Diceros bicornis minor: one gene and its partners. The protein of the gene in region 3 interacts with the protein of the main gene of each other region in a pairwise test. Links are inferred from orthologs where the notes say so. Each region holds a gene or a part of one and is shown on either strand. Other genes may lie near its edges. The genes, in order: EWSR1, ATF7IP, SMAD4 and RASSF5.

Evidence for each region.
Region 1: the proteins of SMAD4 (region 3) and EWSR1 interact in binary tests that used the Homo sapiens proteins (3 or more experiments, as listed by UniProt). The link is inferred for Diceros bicornis minor from reciprocal best matches to the Homo sapiens genes SMAD4 and EWSR1.
Region 2: the proteins of SMAD4 (region 3) and ATF7IP interact in a two-hybrid assay, tested with the Homo sapiens proteins (2 studies listed by BioGRID and IntAct). The link is inferred for Diceros bicornis minor from reciprocal best matches to the Homo sapiens genes SMAD4 and ATF7IP.
Region 4: the proteins of SMAD4 (region 3) and RASSF5 interact in binary tests that used the Homo sapiens proteins (3 or more experiments, as listed by UniProt). The link is inferred for Diceros bicornis minor from reciprocal best matches to the Homo sapiens genes SMAD4 and RASSF5.

The regions. Positions count from the first base shown.
Region 1 is NC_080774.1:22,947,622-22,955,550, forward strand, and holds the start of EWSR1 (RNA-binding protein EWS), read left to right. Parts: upstream 1-4,509; 5' UTR 4,510-4,611; coding exon 4,612-4,624; intron 4,625-7,929. Other genes in the region: RHBDD3 (rhomboid domain-containing protein 3), read right to left, coding at 719-1,102, 1,755-1,944, 4,363-4,509. UniProt on the Homo sapiens protein: Binds to ssRNA containing the consensus sequence 5'-AGGUAA-3'. Might normally function as a transcriptional repressor. EWS-fusion-proteins (EFPS) may play a role in the tumorigenic process.
Region 2 is NC_080756.1:46,822,834-46,830,647, reverse strand, and holds the start of ATF7IP (activating transcription factor 7-interacting protein 1), read left to right. Parts: upstream 1-4,373; 5' UTR 4,374-5,294; coding exon 5,295-5,311; intron 5,312-7,814. UniProt on the Homo sapiens protein: Recruiter that couples transcriptional factors to general transcription apparatus and thereby modulates transcription regulation and chromatin formation. Can both act as an activator or a repressor depending on the context.
Region 3 is NC_080755.1:43,330,518-43,339,051, forward strand, and holds the start of SMAD4 (mothers against decapentaplegic homolog 4), read left to right. Parts: upstream 1-5,151; 5' UTR 5,152-5,544; intron 5,545-8,534. UniProt on the Homo sapiens protein: In muscle physiology, plays a central role in the balance between atrophy and hypertrophy. When recruited by MSTN, promotes atrophy response via phosphorylated SMAD2/4.
Region 4 is NC_080743.1:99,554,277-99,561,871, reverse strand, and holds the start of RASSF5 (ras association domain-containing protein 5), read left to right. Parts: upstream 1-4,174; 5' UTR 4,175-4,179; coding exon 4,180-4,645; intron 4,646-7,595. UniProt on the Homo sapiens protein: Potential tumor suppressor. Seems to be involved in lymphocyte adhesion by linking RAP1A activation upon T-cell receptor or chemokine stimulation to integrin activation.

The DNA of each region.
Region 1 (7,929 bases), on a different chromosome or scaffold from region 3:
CTGCCCGAAGCTGCTCTGCCTGTAAGAGGTGGGGCCAGATATGCCTCACCCCAAAAGCTGTCTCATCCCGTTTCAGCCACCCCCTGCCCCGTTCTGTTCCCAGAGCCCTGTGGCGTGCTCAGGTCTGTGACTTGAGGCCAACTCTTGGGCCCAGTGACATATCCCCTATTGCCCTCAGCCAGGGAAAGATGCTGCCCATGCTCCAGGATTCAACCAGGCCTGGGCAGCTGGCATCCCCAGTCTTAAATGCCTACAGGGGGTCAGCCTGTGCCCACTGTTCTCTCCAACTGCACTGTTTTCCTTGCCAGGCACTAAGTATCTTTGGAGCAAGAGCCTGTGTTGAACACACCTGCACCACCAGCCAGAGGCGGCACCTCCGTTCAGTGCCCAGACAGCCCCAGGCTCACTCTCACCCCTGGCCTTTGACCTTTCTGTGCCCTCTGCCTGGCCCACTCTCTCCTTTTCCACTTCTCTTCACCTGAACTCCTCATCCTGCACATCTCAGTGTAGATGCTGCCTCCACTGAGGAAGTCCAGGTTAGGTGCTTCTTTGGGCCACTTCGGCACCTCCACCCGGCCACGAGCCCCCAGAATGTGTGTGCACAGGTTCCCAGCATTGTTGGGGCTACCTCCTTGTGCCACTTCCTTTCCAGGCACCCTGGGGGCCCAGCCACAGAACCCACATGTCCGCATGGGCCCTCGGCCCAGGCAAAAGATACAGGCCAGGCCAGCAAGGAGGCCGCAGAAGAGCTGTAGGAAGGGTGGCTCGGAGCTGAGCAGCGGCGTCAGGGCGAGCAGCAGCCATGGCAGCAGCCGCGGTGGCAGTGCCCCATGGGGCCGTCTAGGGTGACAACCCTGCCCCGCCAGCATGGCCAAGTGGACAGGCATGTATCCGCAGCCACCGGCTGCACTGGACACCCCGAGGCCTGCCAGCAGCACGGCCATTAGCCCGGTGGCCAGGGCGAGCAGGGCAGAGGCATGCAGGAACCGCAGTGTGCCCAGGTGGCACTCCTGCTGCCAGCCCAGTGTAGGCAGGAGCAGCAGGCTCAGGAGCAGGCCGGGTAGGGCCGTGTGGCCCAGGGCATGGGTCAGCAGCCGGTGCACTGGGGGAGAGAAGGGGTTTATGTGCCAGGTTAGTGGCCCTAACCCCCAAGGCTGTCCCAGGTGTTCCAGGTTGGAAATTACGCTGCAAGGGCCACCTGCTAAGCCAGCCTCCCCTCTCCAGGAGTCAAAGTCTGCCCATTGCCAGCACTTTAATCATGCATGCAGGGGACCAGGACCAAGGACCTTCAAACACTGTGACTGCTCCCCTGCTGTATTAAACAGAACAAGCCGGACCCAACGCTCAGTCTTCTCAAAAGCAACCAACTGTGCACGAGTCACTTAACCTCTGTGAGCATTAGCTGGGTTCCTCAAATGTAAATAGAAGCTGCTGTTATTACTGGGAAACAGGCACTCAGCTGGGGTCACTCCTCGAACCCCCAGCACCTCCTCCCCACTCTCATGCTTAGCTGAAAGCCTTAGTTCTTATTTCCAGCAAAAGTCATCAAAAAGGGAAGTCATCTGAAAAGAATTCCTACCCACAGGCTCCCACCCCTCTGCTGGCCCCTCTGCTTTCCCTTCTTGGCTGTGAATGAGCTGGGCATGCTCCCGTCCAAGGCTGACCTTCCCCAGGGCACACCACTCCTGCCAACTGGTCTCAGGCCCTACAGCAAGTCTCCTGCCTCCTCCAAGGCCCATGTGGCCAGCCCTCACCTTGCCAAGGGTCCAGCAGCAGCTCTGGGGCTAGGGCAAGGCTGGGGCCAGCCCCCACCAGCCACAAGCTGCTCATGAGCAGCATCAGGACCGAGGAGGCGAGAGGCAGCGCTGGTGACAGTAGGCCAGGGGGGCCTCTGGCAGGCATAGCTGGGCTGAAGGTGGTCAAGGGTGGTCTTCGGGGTGTGTGCTAGAGGCAAAGGAAAACAATAAGTTATTTCTGCAGCTTTTCTTTGATTTCCTTTCAACCACCCTACCAGCGGCTCCATTTTACAGAAGTAGAAACTAAGGCTGGAGAGGCAGGCCCAGCAACTTGGCCATGGAGGAGCTCGGATCCTAACCACGTTCCTAGCCATTTTGCCATCCCATCTGCCTATGTGTGAAGACGGGGAGGGGCCAGGCCAAAAGGGCCCTGAGCCCTGATGGGCCCTAAGGAGGAGTCTGGGGTGGGAGGCACAGGGCCAGGGAAGTTTAACGGGGGCCCTGGACTCCCAAAAAGAGGGGTGGAGCCCCCCATGGCAAACTCAGGGCCATCTCCAGCTTTCCTCTGCTTCCCTCTTCCCTCTGGTTGTGGACCAGCCACCTTCCTCCCTCCTCCCCTCCACCGGGCTCAGCCTTAGGGCTCCAGATGGCCCCAGCTGCACTTAAGGGAGGAGGTGAGGCCAGCCAATGGGCAGGCAGATTAGGGAGGAGGCGGGACAGACTGGGTGGAGGAGGGGCAACAGGAGTCCCTCACCCTGAGTGCATACAAAATGACACCGGACTGACACATCCCCTTCGTGAGTCCTGAGCACAGCCCCTCCAGCCCTAGCCCCTCTTCTCACAGGAAGGTTTTAGTATCCACTCCACTTCTTCCTGCTGTGCATCCCTGGGCAAGTTTTCCAGCCTCTGAGCCTCTCCTTCCTCATCTGTAAAATGGGGATTAAGAAAATCCTTTCCTTATAGGATGAGAAAAAGGAATGGGATAATGCAGGGCCGGGCCCACAGACCCTGCTCAATGAACTGCAGCCATCCGCCTAATTGTGGGAGGCAGATATAGCCAGCAGCTGGCCCACCAAGAGGAGGCCTCAACATAGAGGCAACTGCTCCTGCCTAGCTGTTTCAAGCTCTGGCCCTCAAACATGCCAATTCCCTGCCCACAAGGCAAGGGTTTTTCTTCCTTGTTCTCTTCCCTCACATCTAGCCTGTCCTCCAGGCCCTGCTGGAACCCCCCTCACCCCTGGCCAGGCCTGCCTCAGGACTCCCACGGAGCTGATTTCATAGGGCAGGAAGCAAAATCCCACAGAGACCCAAAGGCTGCCTCACCTGCTCCCTTGCTTAAGGGCATCCTCAGCATCAAAACCCACCTGCCAGTTTCCTGCAGGAAAAATGCAGAAAGCTCCTCTGCCTGCAATGTCCTTGCCTCCATCTCGCCAATAGGCAAACTCCTATTCACGCTTTGAAGCCCAGCTCAAATGTCCCCTTCCCCTCCTCTGGCCCCCCACATCATGGATCTTAGCCTATCTAATGAGCACAGCTTGGCCTTTCTCCTTAGACAGGTGGTCTGAGCTGGGGAAAAGGGGTGCTCTTACTCATCCCCCAGTTCCCCCGGGTGCTCCCAGCACATAGCTGGTGCTCTATATGTGTTGACTGAAATAAAGCCACTAGCTTTGCTCCAGGTCCCACTGAGGGGTTTGGGTGAGCTCTGCACTTCCCTGGGCCTGGGAACCTGCCTGGGGAGACTGGGTTGAGTCCAGGAAGGCAGACAGGTGCCAGCCTTGTCCGGAGCTATGGCACCCACTGCCAGCCTGCTTTTGCACCCTCACAACCATCCCTCCCTGGGTACCTCAGCAAGAGTTAAGGACTTGCCCATAGACTAACAGAACTAGGACTTGAGTCCTCCGGGCCTCAGTCTCTTCATCTATAAAATGGGGCTGTGCACCATCAGGCCCTGCCTACCTTACTGAGAAGCCAGGAGGACAGAATGGGAAGATAAAGACGGGTAAGAGTCTTCCGGGTGATGAAGAGAATGGGGGTCCCAAGGTGTAGGTCAGACTCAGCTTTGTGACTTTAGGAAAAGTACCCAAATTCCCTGGACCTCAGTTTCCCCTTCTGTAAAAACAAGAGTTTTGGATGGGGGATATTAAAGGGCCTTCTCAACCTCGACCGTTACCGGGGAGGGGGGGGCGGCTCTCGGGCCGGGCACCACATTCGGGGCCTCCCATCCAGCCCACCGGCCTCAGCCCCCTCCCCCGCCGGCCTGGGCCACGTGTCGGAGTTACTCACTGCGGAGCGCGCCCCCCGCCCCCGGAAGCCCGCGGGGGGCTCCCGCCTGGGAGTCGGGACTCTAACTTCCCGCCACGGCGCGAGCGCCCGGAGCCCATTTTGTTCGCAGTCGGGCGCGTGACCTCTGCCGACCGGCCGGCGCACCACCCCCTCCGCCGCCGCCCGCCGATTAGTCAGCAGTTGTTCTAGGCCCGGGTCCCTTCCCCCAACCCTCCCGCCGGCCTCCGTTTCCCTCCAAGGCAGACTCTTCAGAGACGGTCCCTAGAGCCAGCGGACGTAACCATTCCGTACGACTTAGCCTCGTGCGGAGAATCACTCCGGCTTGATACCAAGACACGCTCACCGGCCGCTCCGGCCCCTTTGGTGCTATTTTGGCCCGCGCGTCACGTCCGGCGCTCTTTAGAGAGGAATAGCACAAGAGTTGCGGGCGGGAAGGACCAGAAAGCTGTGGTTCATCCCTCCTTCCCCCACCCCCGTGGCCTGGCCCCATGGTAGCGCCCGAGGTTGCGGGTTTCGCGCCTGCGCAGTGCGGCGCCTAAAGGGAAAGCGAGAGGGAGACGGACGTTGAGAGAACGAGAAGGAAGGAGAGAAAATGGCGTCCACGGGTGAGTGTGGTGGAGCTGCGGTCGCGCCGGCGACGGCTGGGTCGCCCAAATCGGGGGCCGCTCGTCTCTGGGGGTGGCCGGGGCAACTAAGTGGAGTTGCTGAGAAGCGTGTGAGGTACCCGCCGCGGCCCGACGAGCTCGAGGGCCCGCGTTCCCCTCCCCTCCCCCCACCGAGCAGGCCGGTTCTGGAACCTTCTGGCGCCCCCGGCGCGCGGGGGGCTCGCGGCGGCGGGGGCGCGCGGGGCTCGCGGTGGTCTCTATTGTGTGGCGGCCGTCGGGTCCCGCGCTCCGGGCCGCCCGCCACGTGGGCGGGGCCTGCGGCCTCCCGGGCCCCGCGTGGGGGGAGAGGCTCGGCCAAGCCTGGAGCCTGGCGCCCCGAAACCGGAGGCGGGGGGCCAACGGCGGCTCTGGGGCTGCCACTCTGACCCTCCCCACCCCCATTTCCAGGGAGGCGGTTCGAGCTGGAAGGCGAGTCTGCCTCAGTGAGAAGCCCGAGTAGGGGGAAGCATATCAACAAAAAAGGCATCGCGGGTCCGTGGGCCGAGGGGCGCCGACCGATGAGCGGGAGCCCCGTCATCCTGATGGCCGGGTCGGCTGGGGCGTACGGTGCCGCCGAGCTGCCCCTTTGGCGGGTTCTAGCCCCGAGCCGAACTTTTCTGCCCGCATGGGCTTTAGAGGGAATGTGCTCCCCCTTTAGAGCCTCCCCATCAGCTGCCCCCTGGGCTTCTCCGTTTATTATAGTTATTAATCCCATCTCTTCCCTCCCTCAAAAGTAATTAAGTAGTCTCCTAGGATCATTTTTCAGTAGACGCCGAGGGAGATCTGTTGTATAAGGTCAGCCCGAATCGCGAGGCCAGAAATCCCTCCCAAAAGAAATTTCTGGTCTCTTTGACCTAGGAGAAACAAAAGGCCCGAGTCGGCGTTTGAGTTGTGCTCGAGCAATCGTCTCGCACGTTTATTCTCATATGTTAAGCCGACAGGCTTGTTTATTTCGTGGACTGATAGAAAAGAGGGAAAGGAGGCACACAGTGGGCTTGGAAAGAAAGCTCGGGGTGGGAGCTCGGGCGTGATGTCTAGGGTGGTTCTTGCTGCACAGAGCGTTTGAGAGTGTAGCCTCCACATCACCTGCGGTTTGTTCTAGGGCTAAGCTGTGGTTATTGGTAGGATGGGGCATTATTGCCTCCGGGGGTGTTCTTAGAGGGCCTAATTCCAGGCCCTAGAGGCAGTGGGAGAAGACGAGATAAGACAGGAGAAGCTCTGGGTCCTTCAGAGTTTTAATTCGAAAAGGTTCAAGACTCCAGGAACTTAGGGACAGTTTAAGAACTCTTCCCGAACTGTGTGGTCAGTAAACAGGCAAGTAAATGCTGGCTGTTAGTGCCAGGGTACAGAGTGCCCCTAGAAGAGAGGACTCTGGAATACCACAGTCCAATACACATCCTGGTGGGAAGTGGTTTCCTTAGAGGCCTTTCCACCTTCCTCTTCCCTGCAGTGTTTGAATTATGTAAGGGGGAGTCAGAATGTGTATGTTGAAATTTTTGTGTGGCTGGACGTGCCAATTTTTTGGTCTATTTTGCTCAAACTCTCTTTACTGGTAACCACCAGGTACTGTGTTAGAATTACAGTTGTGGTTTATGTAGACACCCAGCAGTAGGCCTGGCTGGGGAACCTTTGGAGAGTCCCGCAATTTATCTGGACTTTGGTTTCCTTTCCTTTGAAATGGAGGAGTTAGGCTAGATGTTTTAAGAGCTTTTTAAGCCCTTAATTTCTGTCTTTACAGCAAAGCATTTGGGCTCCCACAAACTTCCCCCATACTGACTTTAGCTTATTATGTGGTATGAAGCTCTAAATCTCTGCAGTTTGGATACTGACTGCCCTAAAGTATCTAAAAGCCACTACCTTGGATAATGCTCCATGTTTTTCCTACTTATGTATATCATATATAGAGAAGTACCTAAAGTGTGTCTGGTTTAACAGAGAATTACAGTGCAAACTCCCAAGTAACCACCTTTCAGACCCGGAAATAGGACACTGCCAGCACTCTAGAGGCCCCCCTGGATCACAGCCCCTCTCTCCTCAACCTGGCCTGTTATTTTTAGTGAAATCTTCAGCTGCAAGTTTGGAGGTTAAAAGCAAAACATAACTGATGGCTAAATAATCTGACCAGTGTGTAACTGGAACGTTTTTAAGGCGGTATAATAGTGTTTATGTGCAGTAGGTTGATAACATAAGTTCTCATGAAACAAATTTGCTACCTCACTTAGCCGAACAATGTGGGGCTAAATCTGCTGATTTCACACACACATCGGAGATCATTCGCTGTTCCACATCAGCTTTGCCAACTTTATGTTTTACATAACTCTTCTTGTGTAAAAGTCTTCTTGCAAACATTGAACTTACATGTCAGTGATTTAGAATCATTTCTCACGTAGAAACCTCAGCAAAATGTAGGTTGAAATATTTTGATTTTTGATGCCTCACTGGTGTGTTTGTGAATACCACATGGAAGAAGTGATTTGTATTTACTTTTTATATGCCACAGAGAGCATAACTTGTAGTGCTATTGAAAATGCCTTAAGTTTTAACCTTAAAATGTCTTAGGGTCATCTTGGAAAAATCAGTTTGTTCATTATACATAGCCTTTGGGCATTTGATTTGATCATGTTAATGATTCAGGGTTCTGCGTTAAAGATGTGTACAGAGGAAGGAAAGTAGTCAAGTGAGGTGTAGAGAGGTAGAAAGATGAGCCAACTTGAAAAGATGGATTCAGGAAAATGCTCTGAGGCCAGGTGGACTGTGAGGCAGGATGGAGTTGAGGTAGAAACCCCACCATGAAGAGCTGAGATGTCAACTGTTGCTTTCAGATGAGGGACTACTTTCTGGTTGGAAAAGAAAGGAGCCTTTTGTTCAGCCCTATTGGCAGTACTGTTTTCTAACAGAATAAGATATGTATTTCTTGTGGAGAGCAAAGAATTAGGTAGAATTTTTAAAAATAATTATTTTAACTCCTTTAAATGTAAGCTTAATTCAGTAGTGCTGTGAAAACTTCATAACCATTTTATTTTCTGTTTGTTTTCACTACTCTTAGACACCTCACCGGACCACAGTTTTTAGTCCCTTTCTGTGCATGTTGTAAATTTCATATGAAAAGGAAAATTATAGAAAGGTATACTTAGAGAAGAGAGGGAAAGAAAATTTGTGATTTTATTTTTTTTTTTTAAGTTGAAATCACTTTGAGTTTTAAGAAGATGGTGTTACCTAAAACCAGTTTATTCCCAGAAAGATTAAATGCTTTCTCCTCTGCGGAT
Region 2 (7,814 bases), on a different chromosome or scaffold from region 3:
GATAATTTTTTTTTTATCAGGTACAATGACAGCAAGGATCTTGACTCATTTTTGTTTCTTGAGTCTCCTTGCTGTAGTCTGGCCTAGTTGCTCTCTATGTCTGGTACACCAGTGTCATCCTTAGAATTTTATTCATCATTGTGAGGATTTCCTTCACCCCTCTTCTGTGTAGGACCCTTGTTTTCCATGTGTCATGTCTTTTTATTGACTTATTCTGTCATTAGGGGGAGGAGATCATATTCTCTAGTGGCTTTTTGAGAAAGAGTGTGTGAGAGGCATATTTTTTGAGACCATGTGTGTCCGAAAATTGTCATTCTATATTTTTATGCTTGATTGATAGTTTGGCTAGGTATAGAAATCTAGGTTGGAAATTATTTTTCTTTAGAATAAAGGCACTGCTCCAAGATCTTCTTGCTTCTGTTACTACTGAGAAATCTGAAGCCATTCTTATTTCTGACTTTCTCCTCAATGGAAGCTTGTAGAATCTGTTATTAGCTCCAGTGTTCTGAAATTTCACTGTAGTTCCTTGAAGTGGGTATGTTTATCATTGTTTGCTGGCATTCACGGGGCCCTTTCAGTCTGGCAACTCCTGCCTTTCAGTTCTGAAAGTTTTTCTTAAGTGATTTCATTGGTGATATCTTTCTTTAGTCATTCTGTCATTCCAATGTGAATTTTTGGATGGGTACTCCAATTTTCTTATGTTTTGCCTCCTATTTACAACTTTGTCTTTTTGCTCAGGTACATTTCTTCAGCTTTGTCATCCAGACCTTCTATTGAGTTTTTCATTTTTTTTCTATCATGTTCTTAATTTCTATTTTTCATTCCTTGCCTATAGTATTCTGTTCTTGACACATGAATGCAACATCTTTTCTTATCTGTGGATATTAATATTTTTTTGAAGTTTTATTCCTGATAGTCTATTGCTTTTTTTGTTGTGTTTTGAACTCTATCTTCCATGTTAGACTTTTCTTAGTTCCTTTCCTCTTCCTTGCCTGACTGTATAATATGTTGTGGAAGATTAAAAAGTTGATTAGAATGTCTAAATTTGTCAGTTTTGAATTTCACTGTAGGCTGATCTGGGTAGCCCATTTTTGGAGAGCTCCCAAGACCTTAAGGTCTTTTGTCTTGTGTTTGTTCGATACTCTCAGAGAATAGCCTTCCATTTTCATACATGGAGAATAAGAGTTTGATTGCTAGCATTCTGGGAGATTAATGGAGGAAGAGGGCTAGGAGTCTCTGCAGTCAGCACTCAATCCCACTCTTTTTGGTATGTACTCTCATTTTTAACTGTGGATGTTGTCTTCAGACTTTTGCGAGGATTGGGATGAGCAGGTATTCAGTAGAATGTGTTTGGTGAGGGCACCTAGGGTATATTATTGCTTCACAAACAACTTTCATTAGTCCCTTTTTTAATTGCACTGCCCTACTATTTGTTCCCCTCACTCCAATTTCCAAAGGTGGCTAGTTCTTCTAGTTTCTGTATCTTTTGAAACTGCTGCCATGTAAATCAAATTGGTTCTTAACTTGTCCCCAGTGTGACTTGGAATATGGTGTTTGAGGAACTGCTAAGTTAGTTACCAGTGGTTCTACTTGTTTTCCAGCTCCCTAAATCTTTGTAGCTATTGTTTCTTTTACTTTTCTCCCTATTCTTGAGGATTTATGGCTTAAAAAAATATCTTTACTGTAGTTTTAATGGGATTTGAGGACGTGAAATTAGGTGTTTTAAGTTTACCATCTTAATATCCTTCTAATGTTCCCTTTCTCTTTTAATATGTATAATGTTGATAATAACTTGTATAATTAAAGTATTAACTAAATAGATGAAAAATATATTTACTTTCTCCCCAATACAATGAAACCTTTTATTTAGGTTCTATGGAATTTTAAAATATTTTGCCTATGCAAAGTTTTCTAATAGTGTGATATAGGATATATAAAAAGTATAGTAGTTGACTAGAGTTCATTCTCTTCTAGTTCTTTTTCACTACTACTTGTGTGACTCCTGGCAAATTATTACATTCTCTGGTCATAAATATTTGAGATTATAGCATTCTTATTTTACATAGTCATTGTAAGAGCGAATGAAAAAATTATGCGAAAAGTGCTAGTTTTTATTTAGGAAGAGATAAAACATTGGGTAATCCTGGAAATATTTGCCTAATATTAGAAATAGCTTCCAAATGTGTTTGCTTTTACGTATAAATGATGATTGGGTTTATTAGACTGCTCCTATCTAAAACAAATTTCTTATAATCTATCATATTATATAATCAAGCTATATTCTTTCTTAGTAATATTAAAAAATTTAAAAGTAAATGACATACTTATGTTCTATAATTTTCTCTAGTTTTTCTTCAGAGTTCAACTGTTCTGAGCACATAGTACCTCCTGTGTAGTGCCTATGAAAACACTCTAAAAACTGAAAAATACTCTACAAAAGGTATTTTTTCCATCTTGGGTTTTGAAGTGCAGAGCTTTTTTAGGCCAAGACTAAAAACTTAATTGACTTATTAGTTGACGACTTCTTCTTCCTAGAAAGTAAGAGTTGAGATCTAAAAATGAAGTTCTTAAAGATATAGAATTTTCTAAGATTTTTGTGGTAGAAATGAAAACACTGGGAATTAATTTCAACTCACTATTGAGCAAATAAATATTGTGTTTCACACTATAGAAGTGAGTGGTTAATGAATTAAGATATAGTTTCTGTCCATTAGGAACTTATATATAAAGATATAGGTAATGAAATTTGTTAAGTATAATGATGGTATGCATAAAAGAGCAATTACACCTGGTTTGGGGGATGGGCATAATAAGGAGAAAGGAGAGTAAGGAAAGGATTGTCAGTGATAAAATTTAGGTTGAATCAAGAATAGGATTTATCGGGTGAACCAAGATATTTTCTTTGGGCTATAAAGTGAAACATGGTGGTGGTGGCACCAGTTTTCTGAATGACAGCCTAACCATTTTCCTTTCCTAAACTATTTCCATGATGCACAGAAACAGAACCAATGTGGAAAGGGATGGACAAAGTTCCACAGGCTCGGGCTGAGTGTAGTCTAGGATGTATGCAGCTCTTAGCACTTTGGTGAAGTTATTTAATCTCTGAGCTTGTTTCCTTGGTCACGAATTGGAGAAAAACCTATCTTGTAGGGTTAGTGTGAGAATTAATTGAGATAATGTATATAAAACTTATCTGAAGGCTTGATCCATATTAATGTACCTCCCTACTCCTTTGTCTTTTAAATTCCCTTGCATGAAGTAGACAATTAACATATTTATTGATTTGACTTAATGTGCCTTGGGATAATAGAGAAAATCTAGTAAATCAGTAGTGAAAGGATTGTAGTGGCTGGAGGACGATTGGTATAATGATGAAACTTAGATTGTGTCTCTTATTTTGAAATCTAAATTGGGTGAAAAGTAGCTGTTATAGCCAGTAATAGTAGCCAGCAGCTTAGCTTGCCCAGGAAAGCTTAGACTGAGAAAAAAGTAGTCAGGATTTACATTGGAAAGGTATTTGGCAAGACCAGGGAGGCTTAAAGGTTGAGGGGGTGCTTTGTGCATTTGACGGTGCGTTACATAATTTAAATCTTGGTGGAACAGTCTTCCAAAAGAATCTGCTTCCTGAATATCAGAAGCTGTTCATCAGGCAGCTCTAAATGTTTTGGCTATTTGTCCCCTGTTAACCGTACTCACATTCCAGTGCTACAGAAATGTCTGTTCTGTTCGAATCTTACCAAGGTCTTGCTTTTACCGATTAGATTTGAGCCACCCTCAGAGAATCACAGTTTTTGAAGAATTAATGTGGCTTGGATCAGGTATAACATTTTTTGTTTCCTGACACAGGACCTAAAGCAGTTTTTATATACACTATCCAATTTGCCTCATGGAGAATAAATAAGGACCTTTTAAAAGCTGAGTAGTTTTTTTTTTTAATATTTATTATGGAAAATTTCAAATGTATACAGAAATAGAATGAAATAATGAACTCCATGTGCCCATTACTCAGCTTGAACAATTATCAACTTATGGGGCCAATCTCCTTTTAGTTATACCCCTATTACCCCTTACACCCTTAACAATTGTTTTAATAAATACCTACATCTAGTGGTGGATAGAAACAAGAAAGCCCAGGGCAGCTAAATTTTAGGAAGGTAAACCAAGGAAGAGAGAAGGAAAAGGTGAATAGCTGATGTGAATTATCAAGCAAACAGATTCTTTCTGTGCTTTTGTTCTTCACTTCTCTTGATGGCTAGGTTACTGCCAAGACAAATTTGTAGGGATCTCTCTCAAATTTGTCTTGTTAATATACCCACTTTCAGACTGAATTTTACCCTTTTGGTCTCTTTATTTGTTTTTTCCCCAGGGGTGTCTACATTCTTTATTTGCTTTTTCTCATATCAAAATGCTGGGAGGTCTGTGGCAGGGCATGAAATTTAATTTGCCCTGGGACCAAACACTCACCTGGAAATGTCTGACCATCTGGACTACAGAAGAGAAGAGATTATTTTTCTTTTTATGGCAGATTACTCAAAATAACCTTTGTTGCCATCATAGCTGTAATGACTCTGGTCCCTCACCAGCAGTTATTTAAAATTATTGTCAAGATTCAAAAATTTGATTGCAAGCTTTAACCATTCTGTTGGATTTGAGCACTTTGGGGTTTAGATTCTGTGGGGAAAATCTTTAATTAGCCTTCTATAAGTGGAAATTGACTATCAGGATTTAAACATCTTAATTTTCCAGAAATTGAAAAAATTGGTGCTCTTTTCATGATAAAAGTACTATAAAAGATTTTTTAAAAAGGGGGCCTTGAGCAGGGTTTGACTTTTTTTTCTGGACTGAAATGGAGGCTTTCTTTCAAGCGAATTCCCTGATGTTTGCTGTGTGTGATTTGGCTCTATCTCTGTAACTGCTAATATGTGGCGTGGACTTCAAGCTGTCTGGGATCTGGATGTGCCCAAAGTCTGTACTGCAAGTCGGGTTTCACAGGCATTATGTTACAAAACTGGCTTGCTGCCTTCTCTGTTTTCTCTGTCCTGAGTAGCTGCATTGTTTGTTGCAGTATATGCATTAGCTGTTGTCTATGTTCAGTTTCCTGCAGGCTGAAAAAGTGGGAGGGGCTTTGTTTGATTCATAGCTGAGTTTTCACTGTGTGAGTTCTTGAGTGCACATTGCAGCCATCTTAATTACACTTTAGTGCAACTGAGACAGTGCAGCTGTCTCAAAATGGCTGCTAACCTAGTCTTTGTAGCTGCTTAGGCAGCAACTATGCCAGTGAGGAGACTTGTCACATGCATCAGGACCAGAGGTAAGAACCAATTACTCTTTATCTTTGAATATTTTAATTAAAAAACATTGTAATTTTACTGAGTTTATATAGAAAGATAAACTTAGGGCTTGCTTGCTAAGAAGTTGAAATGTTTGCTGATGGAACCTTTAAGCCTCTGTTATGGAAACAGTACATAGGTTGGTGAGGTCAAAGGTTAAATTCCTGTAATATCTCACCATCTTATGTTCGGTCATTGCCAGAACATTTGATCACCACAGTAGTGCTTTTCTGGCTGTAATTAACTTAATATTCCTTTTGTGTTGGATATTTTAGTTTGCTTGATATTCATTTGTAGCAATTAAAAACAATATATTATCTGAATAGATTTTTTAAAGAGAAGCCATAAATAAGCCTTGTTTTGCACAAAGAATGCGATTTTCCTGGGTTTTTGTGTGCATGTAGTTTGGAGATATTGTTTGGTAGCTTTCTGGAAAGAATGTTAATTCTCTGGATAGTTAGATAATTCTCTCATAGTTAGAGAAAGAAAAAAATTTTTTAACAACGTTAGACTTTTTTTTGTACTATAGGTTCCAGTTCTTTCTCATTATGCTGCCTCCTCCCGGCCATCCAATTCTTTCACATTTTTAATGGTGCTAACTTATTATCCTAGTTACTTTTTCCTTAAAAGTGGCATTTGGATTCAGATTTTGAATTTAGAAATAAGTTCACATCTTCTAGGTCTGGACACCCCTTTTCTTTATAGCTAGTGTATTCTAATGCAACAGAGCTGAGGTAAATACTGAGTTGTTTTAGTTAACTAAGTGTTATTAATTATTGATGTCTATTTTAGTCTTAGTTTAAACCTGTGGTATATTTAAAAGTAATATAACTCAATGATTTTGTAAATTTAATTTCAAAATTCTCGAAAAGATTTCCTAACATTGTTCTGAAGTAGAAACGTTTATTGAGATATTGTAAGTCCATAGTGACCCAGAAAGGTAGGAGAATGAAATTCATATTTGCATAATATTTCAGATAGCAGAACAGTTATACTTCAAGCACTAATGTTTAAATCACAGTACTTATTAAAATTTTTTCTAAATGGTATAATACATTCCTCTAGCTTTGTCAATAGAGTATTATGAATATATCCCTGACTAATATGACATAGAACAGTAAGTTTTGAACTTTATTCTAATTATAGCAACTTTTAAAAGACAACAACTTTTTGCACATTAAATTCTTATGAAGGACCCCAGTAGATAAAAGGGCTACATGTGGTATTTTATTGTTGTGTAATTATTTTATAATGTACATTTATAACATTTACTTATTATAAGTTTATTTAATAAAATGAGAATAATTAGGCTGTTATGATTAAAACAAAACTTTGAAATCAGATCATATATGACAATTATAATCTTATATTAGTGTCAGGATCTAGGTCGCTTATTTGTAGAACTCCAAGCGCTAAGGGACTGTGGAATTCGGTTTGAAAAGTATTCTAGAACGTATATTCTTTATGTTCTTTTTTGATTTTCATGAAGGTAGAGCGTGAGACCTATGTTTATACAATTTAACGGTTTAAAATTGCTGCCTTCCACAAAATTGTGTTTATATTTGTTCTTAGTTGTTTTTTTTTTAAATAAAATAATTGTTCATTTGTTCAGTGGCCTAAAATATATTTGGCATCACTAGCTCAGTTTCATCAACAGCTTTAGCATGCTTATCTCACTTTCATTAACTTATTACTTTGTAAAGTTGTTAGGACTATTTTATGTGATACAGTGGATTCTCATAAACAGAACATTACTTCATGTAAATCCAGCCGGAAGAGCTTGACCCTAAAAGAGAAAAAGAAGACTGAATTCATTATGTGTGAGAGATTCTATCCATCATTCCTTTCAATAAGGTTGTGCCCTGGAGTGAGTAAGACATAGTAAAGTGAATGTGCTTAATCACTCTTATTTTCATGCCTCTCATAGTATGAACAGTTCACTGGATTTCAAAAATTTCATACAATTCAAACCAGCTACTTGGTTTCATATTCTTTATTGCTGGAGAAAAACTGGCTAGGTTGAAATTATTGATCAATTTATGTTAATCTTCAGAGTAGGACCTCAGGGAAATTTTAATGATCCACTCTTTCTGCCTTCTATTACGGACTATAAAATTTACCTCCACCCTTCACAAGATGACTCCACTGATTATTTCTTGTACATGGGGAAACACCAAGACTCTGTGGTTACTCAGGATATTATTGCTAATTCTTTCAGTGCCATGTTGCAGTTTTGCAACTATAAGCATAAGCTGGACCTCCCCGAGATCATTACTTTTGAGATTGGTGGCAGTTTTCAAATTTTCTATGCTGAATTCCGGGTTAGCTGTTGTGCTGAATAACTGAGGGCATAATAAATCTGGGAGCTAGATAATCGAGATTTTATGTTATTATTTTGTCACTTGTTCTTTCCCATTTGTTTACCCTTTTTCATAAGCCATTTCATTAGCATAAGTCTTTAAGGGAAATGTTGAGGTAGTGGGA
Region 3 (8,534 bases):
TGCTAACCTGTGCCTGGAGCTGTCAATTGCTAGGTCATTTCCATGTTAACATATTACTCTATTCCTTCCTAGGTGGGCAGTGCTGGAGGTGACAGCTCTCTGTCTCCACCTCTGGGATGAAGAGGTTAAAGCTCTGCATTCTCCTCACCCATGGGAAGCTCTGCTTCACAGGAGGTAGAGCCATCAACGAAAGTAAAAGGGAAAGAAAGCTTTCAAAGCCTTTGCCTGCTAAGGTCAGAGATGGTTGTGAGAATTGAGATGTTTCTCCTGGAGAAGTCTCAGGAAAAGTGGTAGCTTAGCTCCACTGAAGTGCTCTGGGACTGTGGTCTTTAACACTTCTTGCTTGCTTACCTCCTAAAGAAATTTTAGAAACTATGTTTCTTCTTGTACTTTTAACGGTCAGATCTAAAATGTTTCATCTTAAATTTAAATGATGACAAAGTTTGTTATTTCTGGCATATTATAAGTATTGGAATTTTAAAATAAGATTGTTACATCATTCTTTAAGTGTATCCAAGGGAATGTAAATATCATAATGCATCTACCATCCATTTAAAAGATACATGAACAAGCTTTTCTTTAAAAGAAATTTTACATCACTCTTTTTCTACTTATCTTGTATTTCCTTTCAACTTGCCCCTGGAACATTTTAATGTAAGATTTTAGACTGGAAAGTCTTTTATCAATCAGCCTATCATATTTCCCTATAAAAATTTTTAAAAAATCTTTTGACTGAGTTTCTAAGTTTAAAAAACTCATCTTGATTTTATCATCGATACAATTTTGAATACCTCATTGATCTAAACAACATAAGATATTACAAATTTTGATAAACTATTAAAATTAAAGTGTAGAATATTTTTGCCAGAATGAAATAAGATTAAGAATCAATTCTAGGGGGCCGGCCCCGTGGCTTAGCGGTTAAGTGTGTGCGCTCCACTGCAGGCGGCCCGGGTTCGGATCCCGGGCGCGCATCGACGCACCGCTTCTCTGGCCATGCTGAGGCCGTGTCCCACATACAGCAACTAGAAGGATGTGCAGCTATGATATACAACTATCTACTGGGGCTTTGGGGGGGGGGGAATAAATAAATAATAATAATAAAAAAGAGACCGTGGGAGACCCTCTCAGCTGAAGACCTAAAATATGCCAAAGATATAACATTGTGTGTGTTGTTATGATTCTATTACATATGTATGTAGTCTTACATACACATCATATTTGGAGTGTTTTTGAACTTTATATAAATTGTATCAGATGGTATGTATTCTGCTGCTGCAGAATGGGAGGAGAACTAGAGACAAAAAGTATAGAAAACTCGTTTGGAAGTTTTGTTGCAAACGAAGCAGAGAAATGGGGCAGTGGCTGACAGTGGAATTGGGTCAAAAAGAAGATTTTTGTAGGATTGGAGAAATAATAGCTGCTTATAAGCTTATGGGAATCACCCAGTAGAGAGGGAAACACTGATAGTATAGAAGAGGGGAGATAATTGCTGGAGTGATGCTGATGATCTTGATTAGGCAAGATGAGATTGGGATCTATTGCCTTAGCAGAGGGACTGGCTTTAGCTAGGAGCATGGAAAATTCAACTATGTAACGGAGGGGAAGGTGAAGAAGAGGATTCTGTGGAAGTTTTTGTCTCATTGCTTCAATTTTCTCAATGAAATAGAAAGCAAGGTTATTAACTGAAAATGAGGATAAGAGGGAAGGAGGTGTAGGTTAGAAGACAGAGAAGGTATGAAATCCAGAAGAATGGAGGAGGGAAGTAGGATTCCTGGGCAGCACTAAGGGCTCACTTGAGGTTCACAGTGATAAAATTAAAGTGAAACTAGTCAGTGTAATTGTGTTTTTCTCTAGCCACATTCAGATGCAGCGGTACTGGCGTGGAGTAGGTGGAGAGCTGGCTTGAATCAGAATTGTGGTTTTGTCCAGCAAGCACAACAAAGAGGGAGGGGAGTAAGCAGACTGAGGGTATGTGCAAGAGAATGATTGTAATGATTGGCCAGGGGTTTAAGCTGAGTTAAGGATGGGAGAGAGCGGATACGTAGGTTGAAGAATTGCTGGAGTCAGAGTACTACAAGGAAATATGGAAATATGAGGTGGTGTTCACCATGTGAGATGTTTGACATTGTGATTATAATGAAGTTGCCAAGTTTGATAAGGCTCCTGTAATTATGCCCATGAGAGTGAGTGGCTGAGTTAGGGTAGGACAAGATCTTTGGAGGAGAAGTCAAGGAACTGAGAGGTCAGGGTATTGGGAAGATCATCTAAGTATATATTATAAGCACCTAGAATTAAGACAGAAGTGGTATTGGAGTGACTGATAGGAGCAAACAGTGAAAAAATGAAGGGGAATGAGAGCAACGATGAGGATTACTGGATAACAAGATTTAAAGCTGCAGGTTAGGGGCCGGCCTGGTGGCATAGTGGTTAAGTTCATGTGCTCCGCTTTGGTGGCTCGGGGATCGCAGGTTCGGGTTCTGGGCACGAACTACACACTGCTCATCAAGCCATGCTGTGGCGGCATCCCACATACAAAATAGAGGAAGATGGGCACAGATGTTAGCTCAGAGCCAGTCTTCCTCACACACAAACACACAAAGCTGCAGGTTAAAAGGAAGGGGAGAGGAGGATGGTCTGGAAGCAATGTCAAGGAGCAAGGAGGACACCTACCCCACCTCCAGGCACAGTTGAAGAGGCTTATGGTTGAAAACATAGCTGCCACTACTTGAAAGGGGGAAAGGGAAGCAGTGTCCCGGGGAAAGTCACGTTTTCCTTAAGCAAGAAGGTGAAGGGAAACTGAAGAGAAATTCTGAGGGAGTTGAGTTTAAAGGGATTTTCATTTGCATAAATAAATACATGGTGTGGTGGACACACTCTAATGTAGCTCCATATTATTCCTGCCTCCTGGTGTTCATGCCCTTGTGTGGTGTCCTTCCTTTGAGCGGGGGTGGGACTTGTGATTTGCTTCTGGCCAAGAGTATGGCAAAGGTGACAGGATGTATGTGATTACATGTACGTGCTTATGTTACATAAGACTGTAACTAGGGTCTTGCACTGAGGCTCTCCCCCTTGCTGGCTTTGAAGAAGCAAGCTGCCATATTGTAAGCTTCCCTATGGAGAGGGCCACATGTCAACGAACTGAGGGGGACTCCAGCCGACAGCCAGCAAGGGATTAGGGCCCTCAGTCCTGCAGTCTGCAGGGAACTGAATGCTGCCAACAACCATGTGAGCTTGGAAGTGGATCCTTTCCCAGTCAAGTTTCACTCTGTGATCTTGCAGAGGACCCAGCTAAGCCATGCCTAGACTCCTGACCCATAGAAACTGTGAGCCAATAAATGTGTGTTGTTTTAAGCTGTTAAATTTGTGGTAATATTGTTATATACAACAGATTAATACAGATGGGAATGGAAGAAGTTTAGTTATAGCAGTGTTACTTAATTCTTATAACTCCTTCTGGGGTATATGGCCTAAGAATCACATGTTGATCTATTATCAAATCACCTGGTTAGATCTTCTTTCAATTTTTTTTTTTTATAATTTTATTTATTTATTTTTCCCCCAAAGCCCCAGTAGATAGTTGTATGTCATAGCTACACATCCTTCTAGTTGCTGTATGTGGGACGCGGCCTCAGCATGGCTGGACAAGCGGTGCGTCAGTGCACGCCCGGGGTTCTGAACCCGGGCTGCCAGTAGCAGAGCGCGCGCACTTAACCGCTAAGCCACGGGGCTGGCCCTCAATTTTGTTGATAGCAAAGAACTGGAAACCAGCTGACTTGCAAAAGAACTTATAACTCATTCATTTGGGTCATTCACTTTCTCAGCACAGACACCAATTTTTGAATTGTCCCTTTGAATTGCCGTGGAGGTTTTTACATCTTGGGTCGATACACCTTAGTAATGGGTGTGAGTGTTGACTTTTTTTGTAAGGTGGGAGAAGGACAGTTTTGAAAGAGAATGCTGTGTCCTCAGGTGCTTTCCCAAGCTGAGCAATTTTAGAAAATAGTACATATAGCGGTGGAAGATCTGGAAATGAATTCCCTTAAAACTAGTTTTGGAAGGTCTTCATGAACCCCAGGGGTAAGGGAACATAAGTGAATATGATAGTTTAGAGGCTTTCTGGTAGAAGGGGGAAGAGCCCAGGCTATGATGGTGAGGGCAGCATGGGGCTAGGGGGCGGGGCACTGTGTGTGAAAAGTAGGAGGGGGACTAGAGAGTTTCTGGGCTACAAGACTTAAGAAATGACTTTAGAACTTTCCAATAATTAGTCTTGGTGAGATCTCCAACGGAACTATATCCTGATTGGTGAAAAATAATATATAACTAGTACATGTTTTCTGAAACTTTTTAAATGTAAAAGAAATGCATGCATCTTGTAAAGTTTTCAAAGAAAAGAAGTATAAAGTCAAAAGCACAGTTTATGCCTTTCCTTACCCAACAGGTAACCTAGTTAACAGGTGTGTAGTAGGTCCTCGAAGGTCCCTTCAACTCTGAGGTTCCGCCTAAATCTCTTCCAACAAGAACCACTCACTTTTCCTAAGATCTGGCCAAGCTCTCAAATGTGTGATTCCTTGACTCTACTGTGCACGTCTTTAACCCAAAAGAGGGAGTCTCTTTAGTGTAGATACTTTTGGATCTAGTGATCCAGGGCTAGTGGAAAGGGAAGGATGGTGCGGTGATCGCCAGTTTCTTCCCAAAGTACACCGCTACAGCACCGTCTCCCCAGGGCTAGCGGTTAAAGTCTAATACTTAAGCCCACGCAGGTCCTCAAAAAACAAGACCCGCCTGATCGCTATTTATAAACACTTACTGGATGCCACTATACGCCGAGCTCTCCAGCGATGCTTGGGCACTTTGCACTTTTTTGGAGAGGGATGCCAATTTCTCTGATGACCACTCCCTGCAAACAACCCCCCCCCCCCCCCCGCACCATTGCGCGGCAGCGCGCTCAGCCAGGGCCTCAGCCCAGGCTAGGACTCCGGGCAGCCCGCCGACTGGTGGTGCCCCGCAGGCGCCTGCGCAGAGCTATCCACCCGTCACTAGGGGCGGGAGGCGGGGGCAGCCGGGAGAAAGGAAAGCTGCGGGGAAAAAGGGCCAAACCCTGAAATTACCCGGATGTGGTCTCCGCGCGCGCATGCTCAGTGTCCTTTCGACAAGTTGGCAGCAACAACACGGCCCTGGTCGTCGTCGCCGCTGCGGTAACGGAGCGGCTCGGGTGGCGGAGCCCGCGTTCGCGCCCGCCCGCTCTCCTCGGGAGGCCCTTCCCGCCCTCCCCTCGGCTCCGCGGCCGTCCAGGGGGCGGGAGCGGGTGAGGGGAGCCGGGCGCCCCGCGAGAGAGGCCCCCCGCCGCGGGGCGGCCCGGGAGCTCGAGGCGGCCCGGCCCGCGCGGGCAGCGGCGCGGCCCCGAGGAGGGGCGGCCTGGCCCGGACGCCTCGGGGCGGGGGCCGAGGAGCGCTCCGGGCCGCCGGCGGAGCGACGGGCCCGGCGCCCCGCGGACGAGCCGCGGCGGGAGAGCGGACTCCCCTCGCCATCGCCCGAGCCCAGGTAACTCGCCATGTCCCCTCCCCTTCCCCCGGCGGGCCCGCGCACCCCACCCGCGGCTTCCCCGCCCCGGGGCGGGCTCCCGGCGGCGGGGAGCGCGCGGGAGGCCGGCGGGTCCGCCCGGAGAGCGAGCGCGGCCGCCTGACGAGCCGGGCCGGCGGGTCGCGCTGGGCCGCGGTGCCTCGCGTCCCGCGGGCTCGGGGCCGGCCCTCGGGCCCCGAACTCCCCTCGCAGTTTGTCGCAGAATCAAGTTGAACTGGGACGGGGACTCCCGCTGCGGCCGCCGCTCCTCTTTGTTGTTCTGGAGTAGTTTCCCCGTCCTCCCGGCCGAGCGCGGCGGGGCGGCTGGAGCGTATTGCCTTAGGTCTAGAGGAAAGTTATAGATGGTTGGTCTTGATTTCTTTTCTCAAGCAAATTTTTGTTTTCTCTTTGTCCCTTACTTTCTCTTCCTGGTTGTGTCATTCCCGTGTATGTTTCTGGCTTTGATTTGTTTACTTACATTTTGAGTATTGTGGGTGATGGCAGTATGCAGGAAACATTCTTAGCACCTAACTGACCACCCCCCACCCCGCCCCTAATAAAAAAGAGAAGACATAGTTTATCTTATTGCTAGGACTACAAGTACTGAGTGAGATTGGTGTAGGGTGGAGGGCGGTGGCTCCATCACATTCCCCAAACTGCTGTTATGGTTTCTCAAGCTAGATTTTCAAAGAAATGGGTGTGTTTTGTTAACTTGAAAGATTTCTTTGCGGGTATAGAGAGGTTTTAAACAACCCTATTGAAAATTGGTAGCTAGTTTCCCCCTGAAAAGCCAAGTAAAATTTTTTTAAATGAATATATTTCTAATTAATTTATTTTGAGTTTAGTTTTATAATGCCTTTAGCTGTTGCACCATAGTTTTAGGTGAAACTACCAGTTATTTAGGAATAATACATATAAGGTAATGGGGAATCATTTTAATTAGTCTGTATTGACTTTCTGAAGGCATGTAATCTTGGCCAATTTTTGTTGGCAAACAACTTGACAAACTTTGACTTTTGCCAGAATTAGCATCCTTTTAGTGTCAGTAGCCATTTGATTATTCGGGTGTTTCAAAAGCAGGTTCAGTACTTTTTGCTGGAAGAAGGCATTTAGTGTTAATAGAAAATACAGAAATGCTTATTTTCATAAAGTAATTAGGTTTAGAACGTTGCATTTGAATAATTTTAATTGCAGATTTCATAAATTGCTTTTACCGTGTTGTACTGAGACTGTATTTCAGTTGAAATGTAGCGTGGGAAGTTCTAACGTGTGTAACTTTTTTTTTTTCCTGCTAAGGATTTATTTTCTCTTTTGGAAAGTTCTAATATGGTTAGTACATGATATTTCAAGTTGTAAATGATTGATATAATTAACATTTTAAAATCTGATTTCTTATTAATGTTTCTTCTATAACGTCGTCATGATTTTGTTTTTTTAAGTGGGTTTGTTATAGCACAAATGTAATACAGGCAGGCCAAGGATTTAAGATTTGGAGTATCTTTAGGTCTAAAGGTGGTGATGAATTATGTAGGTTTAAGTTGTTGGAATTAAAACTAAAAGCCTTTCTAGAGAAAATTGATATAACATTTTGTGAGTCTATTAATAGAAGTGGCTTTTTCTTTGCTTTCCAGGTTTTTGGGTGAGGTTACTTTAAAGAGGTATTGCATCTTAATTTTTTTTGTTTTTGAAGTGGGACTGCCTAAGTAGAAATTTCTCTGTTTAGCTAAGTGCCTTCCTTGTAAACCTTGAGCTTAGAAAACAACTGCAATTAGTTTCAGATTTAATGAAAATTTGTGCTGAGAAAGTCACTTAGAAATTTTTGGGAATAAGTTATATGTGGACCATGGACCTTTTCTGATGGCTTTGCTTCTTGAAGCAATTCTGCTTATCCTGGGAAGCAGCAAGTCTTATTTCTAAAAACCAGCGCTTCACTTTCTTAAGCTACATTTTAGTTGAGCTGTTTCTCCATTTGTGTGAATTCTTTTTCTTCGTTGCCCTTCAGATTTTTTTTTCTCTCAAATTAAAGAGCAAGTATTAAAAACTAGTTTATGCTGCCCAGTCACACTCCAGCTCTCCAGTTTGGAAGCTGTTTTTTCTGATTGAGCCAGTGTTATAGTAACATCATTAGACACTATTCTAATTGAGCTGTGAATTGCTGAGGCCTCTACTGGGGCAGTTAACCCTACAGGATCTGTCTCATGCATTACATATAAAATGCATATTTAGTCTTATCTAAAATTTTGCCTATTCTGGTGAAGCATACTTTATTTTTCTTATGTTTAAACTTTACTTATTTCAGTTCTATTTTATCCGCCTCTAGCTCATGCCTAACTTTTTTTCATTTTTCTTTCAGTGATTTTAGAGTGAATGGTTCTTTAAACATCTTATGTTAGCACCATTTCAGTGCTCATTGTACATGTTTGGATTTCCTTTTTTGTTTTTTTCCTAGAAGATTGTGTAGTTAGAAATTTTTGTTTTGCTTAAGTGATGATTAACGGTGACTCTGAGGTGTTGCTTAATCATGTATAAAACCAACCTGACTAAAACTATTTTATGGATTTCATTATTTTCTACACTAAATGAATGTTAAAGAAGTTAGATAAGCATAGCACAGAATTTAATACAATTTTGTTAAATTATCAAATTTTGGGCTTTTTGCTCAACAGTTGATGAAGATTCTATTGTTTTCAAAAGAGAAATTCAGTTGACAAATATGTCTAGATATTCATTTGAGCAACTTTCAGTATGATGCTTTTTGCATCGTAATATGCCAAAACATACTTGATAGTCAGTCAGATTTAGAATTTTTGGATTTTTTTTCTATTCTAAAATGTGTAATTTTGGTGATGGGAAATGTGGCTGAATTCCAGTTTCTCAGGAACAAGGTATTTTAGGTTGTGTCACCTTGACACTATTACATGGTATGATTGGCATCCAGGAAAATTTGTTTTAATCATGAGAGTAGATTAAAA
Region 4 (7,595 bases), on a different chromosome or scaffold from region 3:
TCTCCTTGTGTTGTTGTTGTTAGTGCCAACGAATCAAGAAGTGGGGGACCAGGTCCTTCTTCCTAGTCTGTCTTAGTCTGGAAGGCATAGCTTTCAGCATCACAGCAACCACCACGGTGTGACAATCGACAGATGAGTGGTGTGGTTCTCTGACTGGGAAACGAACCCAGGCAGCAGCAGTGAGAGCGCTGGATCTTAACCACTAGACCACCAGGGCTGGCTTCCCCTTGTGTAGTGTGCGCTATATAACTAGTTCTGGCCAGTGAGTTGTGAGCAGAAGTGACTGGAACTTTGAAATGCTGATGAAGGGTCCTCCAGGCCCTCTGGGTTTCCCTCTGGCATGGTGACTGGCAACATTAGACGTGGTGGCTCCATCAGCCTGGGTCCCTGGGTGGCATTGATGAACAGTCTCCCTGCCAACTGGCAAAGGGCACATAATGTGAGTGAGAAAGAAGTCTCTGGTTTAAAGGCACTGAGATTTGGGGTTGTTTATGACCACAGAGTACGCTCACCTGCCCTGACAGGTCCAGAGATCCTGTGCAGGCAGCAGTGCTGTCAGAGTCACCGGGAGGGCCCTAAATGCTTCGGGGATTTCAGGCGACTTCAAATGCCTCAAAGCCAAACAAAACCAAAAACTTCCCCTTCAGAAAGTCAGGCCACATTCTGTCCTTCCCTTTTCCTTCCTACTAGGAAGCTCAGTGGGAGTTGTGGGACAGCCTTGAAACAACTTGCCCAATACGAACACACCCTGGGACCACCTCTGCAGTGACTTCACATGCTGACCACACACTCAAAATAAAAACAGCACACCCACTCTTCTGGGAGTGAGTCACAAACAGAAAAAAGTCCACGCTCTGAGCCAAGGGGATCTGCTAACATGGGGGAAAGCTTCTAGTGGAGATGTCTCAGCTCATGCTGGGGTCTCACCCTTGTAGCCCGCAAGACCAAAGACCCATCCTAACAATTCTGAAGTTCAAGCATCGTACACTATCCCAGATACTGTCCCGACTCTACAATGAGACTAGAGTTTATTTAGTACTTCTTCCCTGGGGAAGGAGGAATGACTTGCATATGTGTGTGTGTGTGCGTGCACGCACAAGCACAGGCGTGCATGTATGTGTGTGTATTGTGGGAGGGGATGCTGTTTCAGGGAAGAAGGAGACTAGGCTGGGAAAGATGGCATCAGAGGAGGCAAGTCCCAGGCAGGGAGCCTCCCGTTGGGGTTCAGGGGAGGCAACTACTTCCCCGACCTCAATTTCCTGGCTCAGGGAGATGAACCCTAAGATAAACTTCATACACTTTTTGGATTGGTTACATGAAGTTACGTTATCTCCATTTTCATCTCTGTTCCCATCCCAGACGCCAAATGTAGGGCTCTGACCCTGCCTGGTCTCCTCCCCCATTCAGTGCTGGGAACAGCCACCACCACTCCTCCAGATCGGAGCTGCAGCAGGAAAAAAAGACCAGAGTGTTTTCTGGACAGTTCAGAACCTGGGCAAGGGTTTATGTCTGACTATTCCAGATAGTCCCCACTTTCCCAGGGCCCGAGGAGACACTCTTCCCATGAGCCTCTCCATCCAGGGAATCTGGGCTGGGCAGCCCATAATCATGCTTGGGGGTGGGGAGGTGGAGGGCAAAGATGTGATTGTTGGCAATTATTTCACCAATGGCACTTTAAAACCGGCCTTCCAGTGGTGAACTCTTTGCCAGGTCTCCTCTTCTTCTTGCCACACTAAGCTGTCACCCAGAACTTAAGCTGGGTCCACACCCTGGACCTCACCCAGTCCAATGCCCTCCCAGGAGGGAGTGATCTCCTCCAGACGTGTCTCAAGCCTGTGGAGAGGGGTGGATAGCAGAGGGTGGATACCAGCAAATATTTCCATGCAATGCAGGTTCTGCAACAAGCCCAAGAGAACTGCTTGCAGAAAAAATAGGAGAGAGAGAAATGAGAGACCACAAAGGCAAACTGCACTTTCCTTTGTAAACATTCAGCAGAAAGCATTCAGAAACAGCCCCCTCCACCAAGTTTTCCTCAGTCACGTCCCACTGGACCTCACCTACCCCGTGGAGAAAAGAACAGGGAGGCCCATTCTGTTATCACCACGTTAGATCTAGAGCAGTTGGGGCTTGGACCAGCATCATCAACATCACTTGGGAACTTGTTAAAAATGCAAAATCTCAAACCCCAGCCCCAGACACACCAACTCAGAAACTCAGGTGGTGGAGCCCACTAATCTGGGATTGAAGGAGCCCTCCAGGTGAGTGGTACACAACAAAGTTTGAAAACCACTGATGTAGAGAGAAGTTCAGACCGGAGAGGAAGGGTGGAGGAGGGAGCAGAGGGGTGGCTGGTGGCTCACAGGTCCCCATCCCAACTCCTTCTGCTCTGTCGCACTGCAGGGCTGGCTGCTGTGGGCATTCTTCTCCTCTGCCCAGAAACCACCTCATGAGCTGGGAAGCTCCAGACTCTGGTGAGAGCTGGGGACGCAACATGTCCTCTGCTACAAATGCGGTGGCAGAGGCCTCTAGGAAGATCCCTACCAGGAGGGAGAAGCCATGGACCAGAGCAGGCTGGGAATTCCCCAGCCACCAGACTAGAAATGTTAGGAATTATTGAAAAATTACCTCCAAGGGGGAAAATAAAAAGCAAAAGTGAAGATTGCCCTTGCAGACAGTAGGGGGAGACCCATCTTAGGCCGGGAAGAGGAGGGAGAGCCTCAGATCTGGAAGAATTGAGACATTTCCAAAGTTGGTTGCTGAGACCTCTGCTAGATCAACCAAACCAAACCCCAAGCGTTAAGAGGACGGCAGTGATCACTGAGTCAGAGTGGTGGGACTGGAGGAGACTGCGAGAGCATGTCCCTGTCTCCTCACTCCTGGATCAATGTATAGTTGAGAACTGCAGAGGCTAGAGAGGGCCCAGAGTCATCCAGCTGGTCTGCGTCAGGACACGGAGGTACAAAGACCCGGGAGCCCGGGAGGCGCCTGCTTCCCATCATGAGACGGGGCTGTCTCCATGGGCAAATGTGCTGGTCAGGGCCGGCTACATAACGTGCGGGACCAAGTGCAAAAACAAATGCCGTGCCCTTTGTTCCAAAATTATTGAGACTTTCAAGACGGTGACAGCAGGGCACTAAACTGCGGGGAGGGGTTCATGAAGTCTGCCCTGGTGCTGGTAGAAAACGGATCTCTCTTTGGATCTCACAGGTGAACTGTTCACACCAGATGCAATGTACGGCTTTGGGGGGACCGGTGTTTCCACAGGAATCACCAGAGCAGCTGTGGTGAGAGGAGGGTTTGACTTAGTTGGAAAATCTTTCCCAATCCATGGGGCGCTGGAGCGTTCTCACAATCCAGGATCCACGATCACCATAACCCCAGTCTTCCGAGAAGGGAATATCCTACCGGGCAGGGCTGCTGAGAGGGGAAATCCAGCAAGAATGAAAGTCGCACACGGACAGCCTCGCCCGCGGCGGAGGCGGCTTCTCGCGGCGGCACGAGAAGCGCCCCCGCGCTCGGGTCCCTCCTGGTCACGGGACTCGGCGCCGCGGCGGGAGCGCGAGCGGAAGCGGGGCGTTCGCGACCCACGGCGGGGTCGGCTCGCCGGCGGCTGCGGGCGGCGAGGGGGCGGGAGGAGGAGCAAAGGAGCGTGTCCCTCCCGTCCGCGTGAACCCCGGAGGGTGGCGGGCGGACATCCAGCCCGTGGGCCTCTCCTCACATCCCATCCTCAGCCGGCTCCTGAGCCCTTGCCTCTGCCCTGCTCCCTCCCCTGGGCGTGTTGGGGTGCGGGTGGCGGGGGGATCTGCGGTGGGGGAAGTGATGGGAGAGGGAAAGAGGCAGGGCTGAGGGTAGACGTCCCCTCCAGAAATGCCTCTTTTGAGTTGTACTATAGAGCCTTCCCATACGAAATCCTTCAGCTGCCCCAGTTGTCCAGGCGCTTCTGAAGACGCCCCTAAATCCACACTCGCTCAGTACCCCCCCGCCCCCTCCCCCGCCAACCCTGCGCTCGGTGGGGTGGTTCCCTCGGGTCGTCCTTCCTGCCTCTCCGAAGTCTCCCCGCCCCCGCCCCGCCCCGCAGGCTGCGGCCCCTTTAAAGGCGCGCTGGGCGGGCGGCACTGCTCTCGAGGCTGACTCGGGAGGAGCGCCACCGCCGGGAGCTGCCGCCGCCGCCAGCCGGGCATGGCCATGGCGTCCCCGGCCATCGGGCAGCGCCCGTACCGGCTACTCTTGGACCCAGAACCGCCGCGCTATCTGCAGAGCCTGAGCGGCCCCGAGCCGCCGCCGCCGCCGCCGCGGCCCCCCGGCCGGTCCTCGCGCCGCTGCGCCCCCGCGCCCCTCTCCGCTGCGCCCGGGGCGCACGAGGGGCGCGGCGCCCGGAGGGCTGCCCGGGGCGACCTGGAGTCCCAACTCCGGGCCTCCCGACCCGCTCGCCCTCTGCGGCCTGGTCTGCAGCAGAGACTGCGGCGGCGGCCGGGAGCGCCCCGGCCCCGCGACGTGCGGAGCATCTTCGAGCAGCCGCAGGATCCCCGCGTCCCGGCGGAGCGAGGCGAGGGGCACTGCTTCGCTGAATTGGCGCTGCGGAGCGGCCGGGGCTGGTGTGACCTGTGCGGACGAGAGGTGCTGCGGCAGGCGCTGCGCTGCGCTAGTGAGTGTGCGGGCCAGGCAGGGGAGCGGAGGGGCGCGCGGGAGGACCGCAGTCCGCGGGCGAGGAACTGCGAGGGGCTGGGGCAGGACAGCGGGCGCATCGCCCTCTCTGGCTCCAGGGGAACTTGGACTTGAACGAAGGGAGGTAAGCCCTGGGGACACTCTGCTCCTTAGTCCCCTGCCCAGTATCCTCTAGTGACTGCCTACTCCCCGGGTATGGTCATGCGGTATTTAACAAACACCTCTTCCCCTGACAGGTGCACGCCTCGCCCTTCCCCAGACACACACGTACACACACACACACACACACACACACGCACACACACGTGTGCGCGCACAGATTGGGGTTGATGGCAGCAGGGCAAGGTCATTCCATTGTCCCCTGCGCACCCTCCTGCTTTTGTTGTAGGTTCTTGAGAGTGGGTTGTGAGACTGGTATTGAGATGGCCTTTTGACCCGTGGCAAAAAATGGCTTCTTTGTCTGTCTATGGTGCAGCCCCACAGTACACGGACACTTATGGTATACCCTTTCTCCAGGGCGACCTGTTGGGATAGGGAGGAGACCTGGTTGGGCTTTAGATGGAAACGGCTATGAGGCTGAAGAGAGCCTGAGGTCACCCTGGACCTGTGCCCCTCCTGCCTTCTGCCTCTGGCCCCTCAAACCTTTGGACTCTGCTCTAACGTTTGGCTGTGTCCTGAGCTGGCCTCCTCTTCCTCCTCCTCGGTTACTGCACCAGTCAGTCATCATGCTCTGAAATTACCTAACTCCTGCCGGGTCCCTTCTCCCCCAGAGCTCTCAGGCCCCTCTAGCCGCCTCCTGAGCCAGGCTCTTCTCAAAGACTGACTAGAAAACACTGGGCACCCAGTGTGTAAATTTTCTGAGCAAATGTGCGGTCTTCTTGGAGGTGCATTATTTTTCTCTTCCTACAGTTAGGTGTGAGTGTTCTTTAATGGGTGCCCCACCTACCCGCCCTATCTGCTCCTGCCATGTTTGGCAGAGGGTATCCATCCCCATGTGTTTATGTGTTTATATAGGTATTTTAAATATCTGAAGCACAAAGCACAGACAATGGCACAACCTCTAACAAGGGTCTCTGGAAATGGGTTGTGGTTTGCATCTTTTGGCAAAAGCCCTTCCCCTGTGAGCACAGCCTCACACTCCCATCGGACTGCAGCACCGGACAGCAGCAGCTACTTCCACCTCAGGAAAACCCTGCCTTGCCTCTCTCTGCAGTCCACAGCCGAGGCAGCGTGCCTCTACTGCAGCTGGCCGCAGGGGAGGAGAGCTCAGACTCTAAGCCAGGATCAAGTGGAAAGGGAAGGTTGGAGGGGAAAGTGGGTGCTGCTTCCTCCAACCCTGGAACTCACAGTTCAGGTGCTAATTAAAAAGGAAAGAGCAAAAGTTATAGAGATATATGTGTTATGGGTGGTGCTCTGCTGTTACTTGATAAATGCCCCTGACCTTACAGTAGAATCTAATGCAACGTGCCCATGGACATGTTGGCAACTTTTGCCCTCTCAAGGGTCTTGGGGTACTTTCCTGCATCCACCAACCCTATATTCATAGAGACAGGCAGGATCCTCACTGTAATGGGTTTTATTGTGCTGGAATCCCAGGAAATCCGCTTCGTTGGAATTCTAGTCTATTCGGATGTTTGGGGGCTGTATCAATTGTTGAACATTTTGCACAGAGTTTTATGATTTGTTTTTTTGTTGCGATAATGGTGTATTTGTGTGTGTTTGTATGTGCATATGTGTGATACTCCATGATTAAATGAAGTTATGCTCACTTCACATTAGAATTTATTTCCTTTGGTTAGTTTATAGTTTCTGGTGGCAGGAAGACCCAGGTACATGGGCAGTTTGTCTGACTTTGTGTGAGACTTGGTGAAGTCTCTTCGTTTTCCTGGGCTCCTGTGGCCCTCACGCAGTTGGCTTAATACCAACCAGGGATGTCTGAACACCAGAGAGGAGCAAAGCTGGAATCAACGGGCTATGGAGAGGAGTCTCTGTCATTATTAATGTTTAACTAATTGTGGACCTGTGGCTGGCTGGGGGCAGTTGAGAAATGTTCTGATGTGCAGATGAGGGCTGGCGGGTGGGGACACAGCAGGCCAAGCTCACGGAGCATCTTTCTTTAAGTCGAACAACTAATTCTGTGATGGGGTTGGTTTGTTTTATCTTTTGAAAAGCAAGCGTCAGAAATATGACTTTTAAAAGGCAGTACTGTGCAGTGATTAAGAGAACGGACTGAAACCAGAAGACCTGGGTTTGAATCCTGATTCTGCCACTTAGTCTCTGTGTGACCCTGGGCATCTCTGTGTTCCACTTCTTTGTTTTAAAAAATGGGGATAATAACATTACCTACTGCATCACGTTAATGCGAGAATTAAATCAATTAGCGTATGTAGAGTGCTCAGAACAGTGCCTGGCAAAATGCAATATGAATGCTTAATGTAATGTGAGTGTTATTATTGTCCTTGCCCATCCAACAGGTGTAACAATTTGTCTGGGCTCATGACACTTCCGAGGATCACCTTTCCATGCAGTGATACAGTTTTCAGACTCTGCCTGGTTGCTGAGCCAAGTGGGGAAGTGAGTGCCATGAGCATCCCAGGAAGGTATTAATTGTCCTCTAGAAATGCCATTCCTGCCTGCTGGCTGAGGAGTGTCCTCACAGAATGGCAGTGGCTTAGAGGTCACCAAGACATTGATGCCTTGTCTTTGTGTCAGTTGCCCCCAGCAAAGTGTGAGGCACAGAGCACAGTCTCAATAAGTGGTGGTTGATGAAGGTGGTGGCTTGTTTATTCTATTAAATCTCCCTGCTCTTGGGAACAAGCAGAAGGGCAGTGGGCATGTGAGTGACATCTGCCTGAGCCAGGAGGCTGACACTGGGTGGGAGCCGTGTTGGCAAAGTGGGCTTTTAGTAAGGGAAGCGTTCAGAAAACTGT